Linked DNA regions of Coturnix japonica. The protein of the gene in region 1 purifies or fractionates together with the protein of each later gene. This does not show direct contact. Links are inferred from orthologs where the notes say so. Each region holds a gene or a part of one and is shown in the gene's direction. Other genes may lie near its edges.

The links.
Region 2: the proteins of KIF23 (region 1) and RACGAP1 purify together in Homo sapiens (co-immunoprecipitation; 10 studies listed by BioGRID and IntAct, counting the BioPlex papers as one, with this or other methods). This does not show direct contact. The link is inferred for Coturnix japonica from reciprocal best matches to the Homo sapiens genes KIF23 and RACGAP1.

What each region holds. Positions count from the first base shown.
Region 1 is NC_029525.1:17,549,977-17,555,007, forward strand, and holds part of KIF23 (kinesin-like protein KIF23), read left to right. Parts: intron 1-248; coding exon 249-416; intron 417-618; coding exon 619-776; intron 777-894; coding exon 895-1,068; intron 1,069-1,757; coding exon 1,758-1,937; intron 1,938-2,294; coding exon 2,295-2,600; intron 2,601-4,483; coding exon 4,484-4,714; intron 4,715-5,031.
Region 2 is NC_029544.1:382,928-388,385, forward strand, and holds the start of RACGAP1 (rac GTPase-activating protein 1), read left to right. Parts: upstream 1-2,071; 5' UTR 2,072-2,167; intron 2,168-2,433; 5' UTR 2,434-2,437; coding exon 2,438-2,522; intron 2,523-2,943; coding exon 2,944-3,146; intron 3,147-3,473; coding exon 3,474-3,610; intron 3,611-3,812; coding exon 3,813-3,882; intron 3,883-4,090; coding exon 4,091-4,144; intron 4,145-4,425; coding exon 4,426-4,503; intron 4,504-4,636; coding exon 4,637-4,754; intron 4,755-4,935; coding exon 4,936-5,066; intron 5,067-5,458.

The sequences.
Region 1 (5,031 bases):
TCTTGTATGCTCTGGGTTTGCTTTAGAAATTAGGACTTGCCTGGAGGTATTGTAAGGAATGAATCAAAAATGTCACATTTAATCTGTTCTCAATACTGTCATCTATTCTGAAAACATGTAGCTCTCCTTAATAATTCTACATTCTGTCTCCTTCGTAATTCTGTGGAATGATCTGTGGCTGTGCACTGTCATATGAGAACTTTGTTCTCTAGCTTGCTGACAGACTTCCTTGGCTTTAAATCTTACAGAAACAGAAGAGCAATCTGCTTTAGAAATATTATTGCCGAGCTTTCCTCCCCTGCCTTCATGTGAGCTATTAGACATTAATGACGATCAAACACTTCCAAAGCTTGCTGAAGTCCTGGAAGAACGCCATAAACTACGACAAAAGTTGTCAGAGGAGTTTGCCAAAAATGGTAAGAATTTGAGCACTGACATAGAGCTCGATTTTTGGTGCCCTCGTTGCTATTCAAACATTTCTTATGTACTAATGAGGAACAATGATCTTGTTTAGGTTGATGGTTTAAAAACCCTCTCATTGAGGTAATTGAAGTAGCTGGTAGTATCAAGTTAATAGGAGACAGGATGAGAAAGTAAAGTATGTTGACTCTCTTGCAGCGCTTACATTTAAAACTATACTGCGAGAACTTGATTCCAGCATTATGTCCAAAGAAAACTATGTGCAAGGAAAATTGTCTGAAAAAGAGAAAATAATAACAGGACAGAAAACGGAGTTAGAACGGATGGAGAAGAAAATTAAAACTTTGGAATACAAGGTTAGTTTTCTAACGGATAACAAATGTATTCTAGCACAAGCAAACATCACTTGTGCTTCTGGGCTTAGATGGTTGTGTTGCCTGGGGCCATAACAAAGATCTTCCTCTCTTCCTCCAGATTGAGATTTTAGAGAAAACTGCTACTATTTATGAAGAAGATAAGCGTCACCTTCAGCAAGAACTTGAAAGCCAGAGCCAGAAACTGCAACGTCAGGCTTCTGACAAGCGTAGGTTGGAGGCACGGCTGCAAGGCATGGTTGCTGAAACAACCATGAAGTGGGAGAAGGAGTGTGTGAGTATACTGCCCTACGTATGAGAGCTGTCTAAGGGAATAATGCTGGAGGGAGTTGGGGAGCTTGCTTGTTTTTTAAGGTTTTTCTTTTTTTTTCTTAATACTATTAAGAGTGAAGATACATTTGGATTTTAACTGGGGACTTGAACAGATATTTTCTTCTTATATAAATGTTGTATGATGGGATGAATTCCTCAATGGCCCATGATGCAACTAGAGCAGCTCTCTTGTGCACTTTGTTTTGGTATCTGGAACTTGTTCTTTTGGGTTTATGGCTCTCTGAGGAGTGATTCTTTTGTTCTGGCAGCTGTCAGGAGAAGCCTAATATCAGGCTTTCCCCATTATCCTCATGTAAACTCTTGTTCAGATATGCCCTTCATGAGCAATAAGGAAAGAAAATCTGAGGAATTAATTTGCTCTACTACAGGACTGTTTACTTCTTCAGGGCTATCATTAGATCTACAGTTAGACAACGGTCTGATTTACCCTCATAATTTAGGAAGCAAATTATTTATGGTGTTAGACATAACCTTGGCAGTCTTTTTTGTTAGCTTGTTTACATCATTACTTTCATCAGCTTGTATCTCAGAGGGAAAGAATGTCCTTCCATGTAGAATATAGAATTATTTGCAAACTTGTAACCCAATTACTCTGTGTCTGTAAAGCTTTTCTTCTCTTGGTCTTTGTAGGAGCGTCGTGTAGCAGCAAAGCAGCTGGAAATGCAGAACAAACTTTGGGTCAAAGATGAAAAACTGAAGCAGCTGAAGGCCATTGTTACTGAACCAAAGAGCGAAAAGCCAGAGAGGCCTTCACGGGAGAGAGACAGAGAGAAGCCTATTCAGAGGTCAATCTCTCCACCACCAGTACCTGTGAGTTGCCTTTAGTGCACTACTTGGTAAAGGGACACGAGTACTTGTAAAAATGAAATAAAATACAAAGCTCTTTTCTCTAGTGGCTAGAAAATGTTTCCCAAGCACAGAATTTGGGTTTAAACTGCTTTTGAATTCTCCTTCTCCTCTTGTATTTGTATCTGTGTTTTTTATTTGTGCTCCTACTTTCCTAATGCCTTCAAAGTTGAAGATCGTCTGATTCTTAGTGCTGTCACTGCTCTCCGAAGCCATGAATTTCGGTAGCTACATTGAATATTGACAATGTGCAGTGACGCTGTCTTATTGCCTTGTGAGCTGATAGTTCTGTGTTGTTAACTGCTTTCCCATTCTCTTTAGCCTTCTAGTAACTTTATTACTCAGGTTCCTAACAGCCAGCAGTTCGTGAGCAACCAGCAGGTGCACAGACGTTCAAATTCTTGTAGCAGCATTTCTGTGGCTTCCTGTGTTATGGAGTGGGAGCAGAAAACACCTTCGCACAAGCATACCGGTGGCATTTCTAAAACAAGGACTAGACAACAAGAACCAGGACAAAGTAGAGACTGTAACACCTCAGACAGAAGGCGAGGGATGTGCTGGACTGGAATCACTGAGGTTCCCAAGCGTAGAGATGAGCTAGAAATAGAAGAGGATCAATGCTGCAGGGTTAGTGCTGCTCCTGTCAAAAGCTGCATGTAGTGTTACGTAGTCTGGCTCAAAAGTTCATCACAACTGCTCTCTTACACTGAGTGTAAAAGAGGTTTTAGCATTTTCCCCTAAATGTAGGGGAGTGCGGTTTCCAAGTTGAGTCTCACTCTTTAAATCTTTAATTTGGCATTAAAAATCTTTAGAAAGCACTTCCATTTCTGGTTAGTGTGTAAATAGCTGCGGAAAGGAGCTCTGAACTAAATGGGCTTTTCTTTTTTTCCTAGCTCTAAATGTTTTTGTTTTAATTTGTGTCTGTCTCCTCAAATCTATCTTACAGCCTGCAACTTGCTGTAATCCTTTTTGGGCAGCTTAAAAGGTGGTCTTATGAGCCAGCCACATGCAAATGTCTGCTAGAAATAGTGCTTAGGCAAACTCCTCACTTGAATAGCTGTTAACTTTTGTTCTCCTAGAATAGTCTTTCCAAATCTTCACATCTGCATTAAAACTGGGGGCTTTGCTTGTAGTTGAGAGATGCTTTTCCATCAAATTACTGTGTGCAAATGTTTGTATCCGCGGTGTCTCTATCATGATGTAACTGTCACAGTGGCTCAGGTAAAGCCATGAGTATTGTACTACATCATACTCCCAGGATCAGAGCTCTTGAGAGGCCTTCCCGAGAAGAGGGAAGCTTATCATGGTGGGATTCATTTTTGGGGCAGTGTTTTCAAAGGGCTAGCAAGTAACAGGAATTCTGAAGTATGGGAAGGGATTTAAGCAAATGCTGTTCCAGTTAAATAAAACACAAATCACCAGCATCGGATTATGGGACACATTCTCTCCCACAATAAAATGTGACTGGTAGTAATGTCTTCCTTTGGACTTGTAGATTTCTAGGGCACCCTGGCAGAGTTACTTCCCACTACTCCACTAAAAAGAGGAGAACTCTTGAGTGTCTTATTCCTAATGTTCATGTAAAACAACTTTGAAAGCCACGAATCTCTGTATTCATTTAATCTTTAGAAGCTGCTGTAGTAAGAGCTTTACTTGTGAAGGGCACAGCTAGTCTCATGGCTGTTGCTGAGAGAAATCCCAATTGCTGCTCATCACCTGAAAGCAGAGTGGAGGAATCTGCGTTTGTAGCTTTGGGTTATTTAACATCACTACGATTTACAGAGGTCTGTACATTAGTGAGTAAATAGAACAGAGAGAGCCTGCAGTGTTCTTTCAAATGCCTGTTCAAGGATTTTGAAAGGACTTAGGTTTTTAAACAATTTTCTGGTTTACCTGAGCAACTGACAACGTTCATGAGCATAAGTTAAAAATCTATGAACTTCCATTGCTTTGTGTGGATTTCCAGCAGCTGGACTTGGAAGCAGTAATGCTAGCAAAGGGCACTCTACTTTTTTTCTCTGCTCGTAATACTTCTGAGTAAACAGAGGCTTTGTCTCTACCAGAGGTGCTGGAAATCCATACTCAATCTGTTCCCTTTGCTACATCAAGATTACATCTTGATCCATTAGAGCATCTGTGGAAACACTTCCAAATTTATCTTTTCAGGTCGGTTAATATGTTCATGGCAATCAGATCTGGGAAATCTGGGAAGAGTGCTGCCAAAGAGAAAGATGTTCTCCTTGTGGAAACCCTGCTATGCAGGGAGTGCAACTGATTGGATAAAACCACATCAAATTAGTGGGAAACAGTTGGCACAGAAATAATCCATTAAGTATTTTTTGCAAGGCTTGTGGAGCAGTATGTTTCAGGTGGATTCTAAAAGGAACAAAGCTTTGATCTTCAAATAATTACATCTTAACCAGACCTGCGAAAATCAGTTTTGCTAATGATATCCTTTGAGAAGCTTACTGTGTGCTGATTTCTTCTGATTCTCTTTCCACTCTGATCAGAACGCGCCTCCAGTTCGTCTCAGGCACAGACGGTCGCGCTCAGCTGGGGAGAGATGGGTAGATCATAAGCCACCTTCTAATCTGCCCACTGACACAGTCATGCAACCACATGTCCCTCATGCCATCACAGTAGCAGCTGCAAGTGAAAAGGCACTAGCTAAGTGTGACAAGTACATGCTGACGCACCAGGAGCTAGCCTCTGATGGGGAGATTGAAACAAAACTAATTAAGGTAAAGCAAACACCTCTGTGGTAAACTTGTGATAACCCTGTCAAATCCTATTTCTGGCATTGTATTTGTGCTACAGGCTTGTGCCTTACAGAAAGGTATGTTTGACCCCATGTGCTGAGAGATTGGACTTGCAAGTTTTGTGCTGTTGGATTCAAAGGAGATTTTAGAGTCTGAAAATGCTTTTCTTGAACTTAGTCATTATTTTGTGTATACATCATCACATACTTATTACTTGATCACCGTCTTGCTTGAAAGTAATTAAGGTTTCTTTTCCCCTCCAGTAAAACACAATAATCCATTCATAATGAAAATTTCTT
Region 2 (5,458 bases), on another chromosome or scaffold:
CCAACAGAGATGTCTTAGCTTAGAAGATTTAATTGCAAGCAAGAGCTGCAGGAGGCCCCAGGGCTGCTGCTGAAATCACTAAATCTCCCCAGAAATGGGGGTACAAAATGCTTTGGGGGTGCACCAGAGGCTCCAACGGGACCAAGTCTGGTCTTCTTTTCCAGACTGGAGCAAAATTGGGGTTTTGGATGATTTTTGTGCGTGTCACAAGGTCAAATATCAAGGTTGGCATCTTCGTTTTGCTTTGCTGTTGGCACAGAGGATGAGGCATTTCTCCTCCAGGCCTCATTTCTTCCGTAAACACGGATAATTCTGACCACTTCTCCTCTAGGTACCTCCTTGATGTTTACTCTTCAGGGAACCTCAAGGCTTTTTTGCAACCCATCATGAATTAATTATGAAGTTAAAGCAGACTATATAGCCCAAATAACACAGTCCTGACGAAGCATCTGGATCTTTGAGTGCAATCTGCTTTTATGAACTCCCTTTTCCCACTTAGTAATTTCCAGCATTTAGTTCCGCTTTCTAATTGCTAATATCCATTCTCCAATTACCCGCTGGTTTTGTTTCAGATTTCAAAGATTAAAGTGCATTGCTGTTTTATTGCCATTGCGTGATTCCGCTTTCTTGTAAATCGTTGGGTTTTGGTTTGTGTTTTTAGTTGTATTAAAGGCTTGCAAATGGGAGGAGGAATGAAATGAGGCTTTGCCTTTTGGCTTGTGGGTCTGTTGGCTCAAATAGAAGACAAAAGGCCACGGCATCATTCTTCTCAAGGGACAACACTGAACCAAAGGCCTTCTGGAAAGCTTTTGTTATCTGAAATAGCTTTGGGGCACATTGAATGCCTGATGTCACCAATGCACAGGGGACTCGGAACCCTGCCATGCTTTGTGTCATTGGTTTAGCACAGTTACAGCCAGGGCTTGGCCTGAGAATAGCATTTCTTCCCCCAAAATACCCCTGTGCTGCCAATGGCTGCGTTCAGGGTTAATGCAGAAGGAGCAGCCCTTGGGTTGGGGGTCCAGGCCCCACCGCCATCCCTGCCTGCTCTGTTGCTAAGCAACAAGGGCTGGAAGCAACTGCCAATAGTAAACATGGCGCCTAGCCGACTTCACCATCTGTCAAACCCGGAAATCAGAGGAAGGGAAAAAGCTTTGCCCTTAGCAGACATGGCGCCAATTTGGCTTCAGACACACGGCGAGCAGAACCAATCAGAAACCAGAAGGGTGGAGAGCGCCCTGTGATTGGCCGGCGGCAGGGATTCAAACCGAATCGCGGGGCAGTTGAAGCCGGCTGTTGGAGTGGGAGCTCGGAGCGGGTGAGTGCGCGGGGGGAAGCCGGGTTGGGGAGGGGTCTAAGGGGCTTCGATATGGGATTGGGGGGCATCAGCAGGGTCCTGGGCTGAGGGAGGTGGTCTGCAGGGCCCTGATCTTGAGCTGAGGAGGCTCGGTGGGGCCCTATTGCCGGGCAGCCTCCCGGTGTGTGTGGCGCGGGGTAGGCCCGAGGCCTGTTACCTCAGGGCAGGCCCGAGGCCTGTTACCTCAGGGCAGGCCCGAGGCCTGTTACCTCAGGGCAGGCCCGAGGCCTGTTACCTCAGGGCTGTCCCACCCGTTGTGCCCTATGAAGAGGCTGTGAGGGCTCCATATGGAGCTGTGGGTGTATTGAGGTGCTGGGGAGTGAGACACAGGGCTATGGAGTGTCCTCAGAGCTTTGCTTTTCCATGCAGAAAACCCCAATGTGTGTGGGGTTATAACCAAGCATTGTAACAGGGCGTTGTGCCCCTCCTGGTGCCACTCCCAGCCATCCTTCACAGCCGCCCCTTCACCTGGAGCTCATTCATTAACCAAGCCTGTCCTGAGTGCCCCCTTCTGTATTAAAGAACTGCGTTCTGTGCTGCTGAGCTCGAGGCTTTCCTCTTGGCTGCTCCTGTTTATGCCGTTGTTTTCGCTGTTTGAGGGATTTGTGCTGACTGCCTGCATTTCCAAGGCCGTTTGCAGCAGGAGCTGTAACTTAAAGTGGAGCTAAATATAAAACGGCATTGAAATTCCCCCTGAATGCTGCTTCTATTTTTACCTCGTGTTGCTCTGAATGCTTACAGATTTCTGGTGGCCTATATAGCACCGGAGTGGGCCCGAGCCACGTCCTGCAGCCTGGCAGAAGGAAAATGGTTTGTGATCCCTCCTCTGTAGTAAACTGGAGGCTGTTTGGGAAGCTGTGCTGCTCTAATACTAAATTCTGGAGGGCTGAGTGCCTTTGCCCCCTAAGAATTTAGATGCACATCTCTTCATAAAGCCTAACATCTTTTTTTTGTGTGTGTGCAGCTGCTACATCTTGCCTAAAGAAAAGAGAATTCTGAAGCAAATTCTCTCTTTTTTGGGGCTGGTAATGCATTTTTCATTTGGAGGTGTTGATTTAGTTCTGTTTTCTTGGCAGGAGGATGGATACCACAATGAGGAACCTGTGGAATTTGTGTGACCAACTCATACGCCAGGCTGAAGTTTTAAGCGAGGGGAATGAATGCCGTAAGTTTTGAGACATCAAGCAGCATCTGTGTGTTTATATTCTTGCAGCAAGCATTGCTAGCTGTTATTGAAGGATCTGTTGATGAGGTCTTGAGTAATAACACTCTTCCAGGCAGCCAGATTTGAAGGTTGTTTCTTTTTCCTGTTGTTGAGAAATAGGGAGTCATAGGGTGAAAGCAAGTTGCCTTTGTCAGGGTCTCACATGAGGTATCTGCTGCTTGATGCTGCTGCTGAGACTTGGTCTGCAAAGGTGGTGACATCTTGGGAACATCCAGAGTGTAGTGGGGTTTGCTGCAAGGCCAGCTTCTCCATGTTTCAATTAATAGAGATTTTAATTAATTAATTATTAGAAGTCTGCCCTCAATTATAGGAGAGCTGTTGCATCTCCTCTCTTAATCTGAGTGATGTATCTTTTCTCCAGAATTTATTCAGCTGGCGAAGAACTTTGAAGACTATCGAAGGAAGTGGCAGAAAACTGAGCAGGAGCTTGGAAGATACAAAGACCTGCTGATGAAAAGTGAAGCTGAACGTAGTGCTTTGGACGTGAAGCTGAAACATGCGCGCAATCAAGTGGATGTAGAGATCAAACGCAGGCAAAAAGCTGAAGCAGACTGTGACAGGCTGGTGAGTGTTTCTTTTATTACTGGTTAGCTCTAGTTGATGTGGAGAGAAGGTGGTTAAACTGCAATTAACCGGGGGGGGGGGGGTGTGGAAACAATAGGGGGAATAAAAACAAGTCAGTGATGGGTTGATCTGGCTCCTTGTAATGGCCTTCTGCTTTTGTCTGGAAGGCGAAGGGCTGCTGTTTCAGAGCCTGGGCTTTGCAGATATCAGCAGCTTGAGTGCTGGACTTGCTCTTAGCAATTTGTGAGAGCCTATCTGTGTGGTATCTCAAATACCTGAGATTGGTTCATGTAATTAAACGGCTTCTGATATTATCTTTCTTTTCAGGAGAGGCAAATACAACTGATTCGAGAGCTGCTCATGTGTGATGCATCTGGGAGCATTCAGCTAAGTGAAGAACAGAAGTCTGCCCTTGCCTTCCTTAACAAACCACAGGTTTCTGTAGGAGGTTCAGGCAACAAGAGGTAGGCAGAATGGTTTTGTCTGAACAGCATAAGTGACAGCTACTGGTCTGCCTGCGTGTGTCTGAGATACATGTTGCATCCATATCAACAGTTTTACTTTTATTCCAGTTTGAAATAGAGCTCTTTTGCCTAAGGTTGCTTTGGGACCACAGCTGCCTGAAAGCCAAACTGATGCATGCTTCTTCTAATTCTTGGTTTTTAGACTGTCTACAATAGATGAATCTGGCTCAATTCTGTCAGACATCAGCTTTGACAAGACTGATGATTCACTGGTAATGTAATTCCAAGTTCTAAACTATGAAATCTTAAACCTGCGGGGTAATCTCTAGAGACCTCTTGTGTTTAGATTACTGTGGTATTAAATTGGTAGAGCTGATCTGCATATCTCTGCTGTGCTATTGGGTAAAACGTAATGGAGGTGTGGACCAGAGGTGGTGTGGTGTTTACGCTGAGCTAACCAGTGCTGCATGTTTTCCACAGGACTGGGATTCCTCTGCAGTGAAAACTGTCAGACTGAAGAGGAGAGAGAAGAGGGTATGTTCAATTCTTTCCCTTCACATAGATACTGTTGTTAGCATTAACTGGTGTCACCTGTGATGGGTAGGTGCTAGTCACAAAACCTTGATGGATGTGATTCAGACTTGCTGTGTAGATTTGGTGTGAAAGTTATTTCTGATACTGTTTTTCCACAGGGCATAATGAGTGGAGTTTCAGGTATCTTGTTATGAACTTGAGTCTGCAAGAGAGTGGTTAAAATACATCACTAAGTTAATAGTATTACCTGCCTTTTAGACTAAAATACTGTGTCTTTTCAGCGCTCTTCCAGGCAGCATGCTGAAGGCCCACCAGCTCCTGAGAAGAAAATCAGATCAATTGGCTCCACAGCAGACCAGGTATAGTGATCCCAGCTGGCTGTGTGTGTGTTTAAAGCAGTTGGCCACAGTGCACACCTGCTTCCAGGGCCAACAGACTTAAATCCTTGTCCTGTCAGCATTGCTGTCACCAACAACACACTTCTTGCTACAGGGAAATGAATCCATAGTGGCAAAGACGACTTTCATGGTTCCCAGTGATGGTGGTCCTATTGAAGCCATCTCTACCATTCAGACTGTGCCCTACAGCCTGAGAAGCCAGAGAAAGAGTGGTAGGTGTCAGCTTGTTGTCCTAAATCAGTGCTTAGCAGGCTGGAGGGTGTCCTGTCATTGTAATTTCCTATGCTCCACCACTTAAGCTGCTGCCTCTGATTTGTAGTGCATGTTGTCTGGAGCACGGAATGCACTAGGGTACGGTTCCCATCTAGACAATGCTCCTCTTCTGTTTTCTAGGTCCTTTGCAGCCTTGGAGCAGTGAGACAAGCTTAGGCTTTAAGCAGGTGGAATCCAAATCAGAGAGCAATGGTTCTGTCACCCCACAGAGCAACGGGGGAGTGAGGCTGCATGACTTCGTATCAAAGACGGTAGGTTTGCAGGCAAGAAGAATCATAGAATGGCCTGGGTTGAAAAGGACCTCAAAGATCATATATTTTGAACCTCATGCTATGTGCAGGGTTGCCAACCACCAGACCAGGCTGCCCATAGCCACATCCAGCCTGGCCTTGAATGCCTGCAGGGATGGGGGCATCCACAGCCTCCTTGGGCAACCTGTTCCAGTGCATCACCACCCTCTGTGTGTGTATGTGTGGGGGCAGGGGGAAAACAACTTGAAAAGTATCTACTTTCATTAAATGTGTGTGATAGCAAGCTATTGATAAGAAACTACCAACCATTACATCCCGAATCAATATTCACTGTGTCTGTTATCTGCCTGGTTATGCTATTTAAGCTGAGTTACTACAAGGCGCTAATTTCT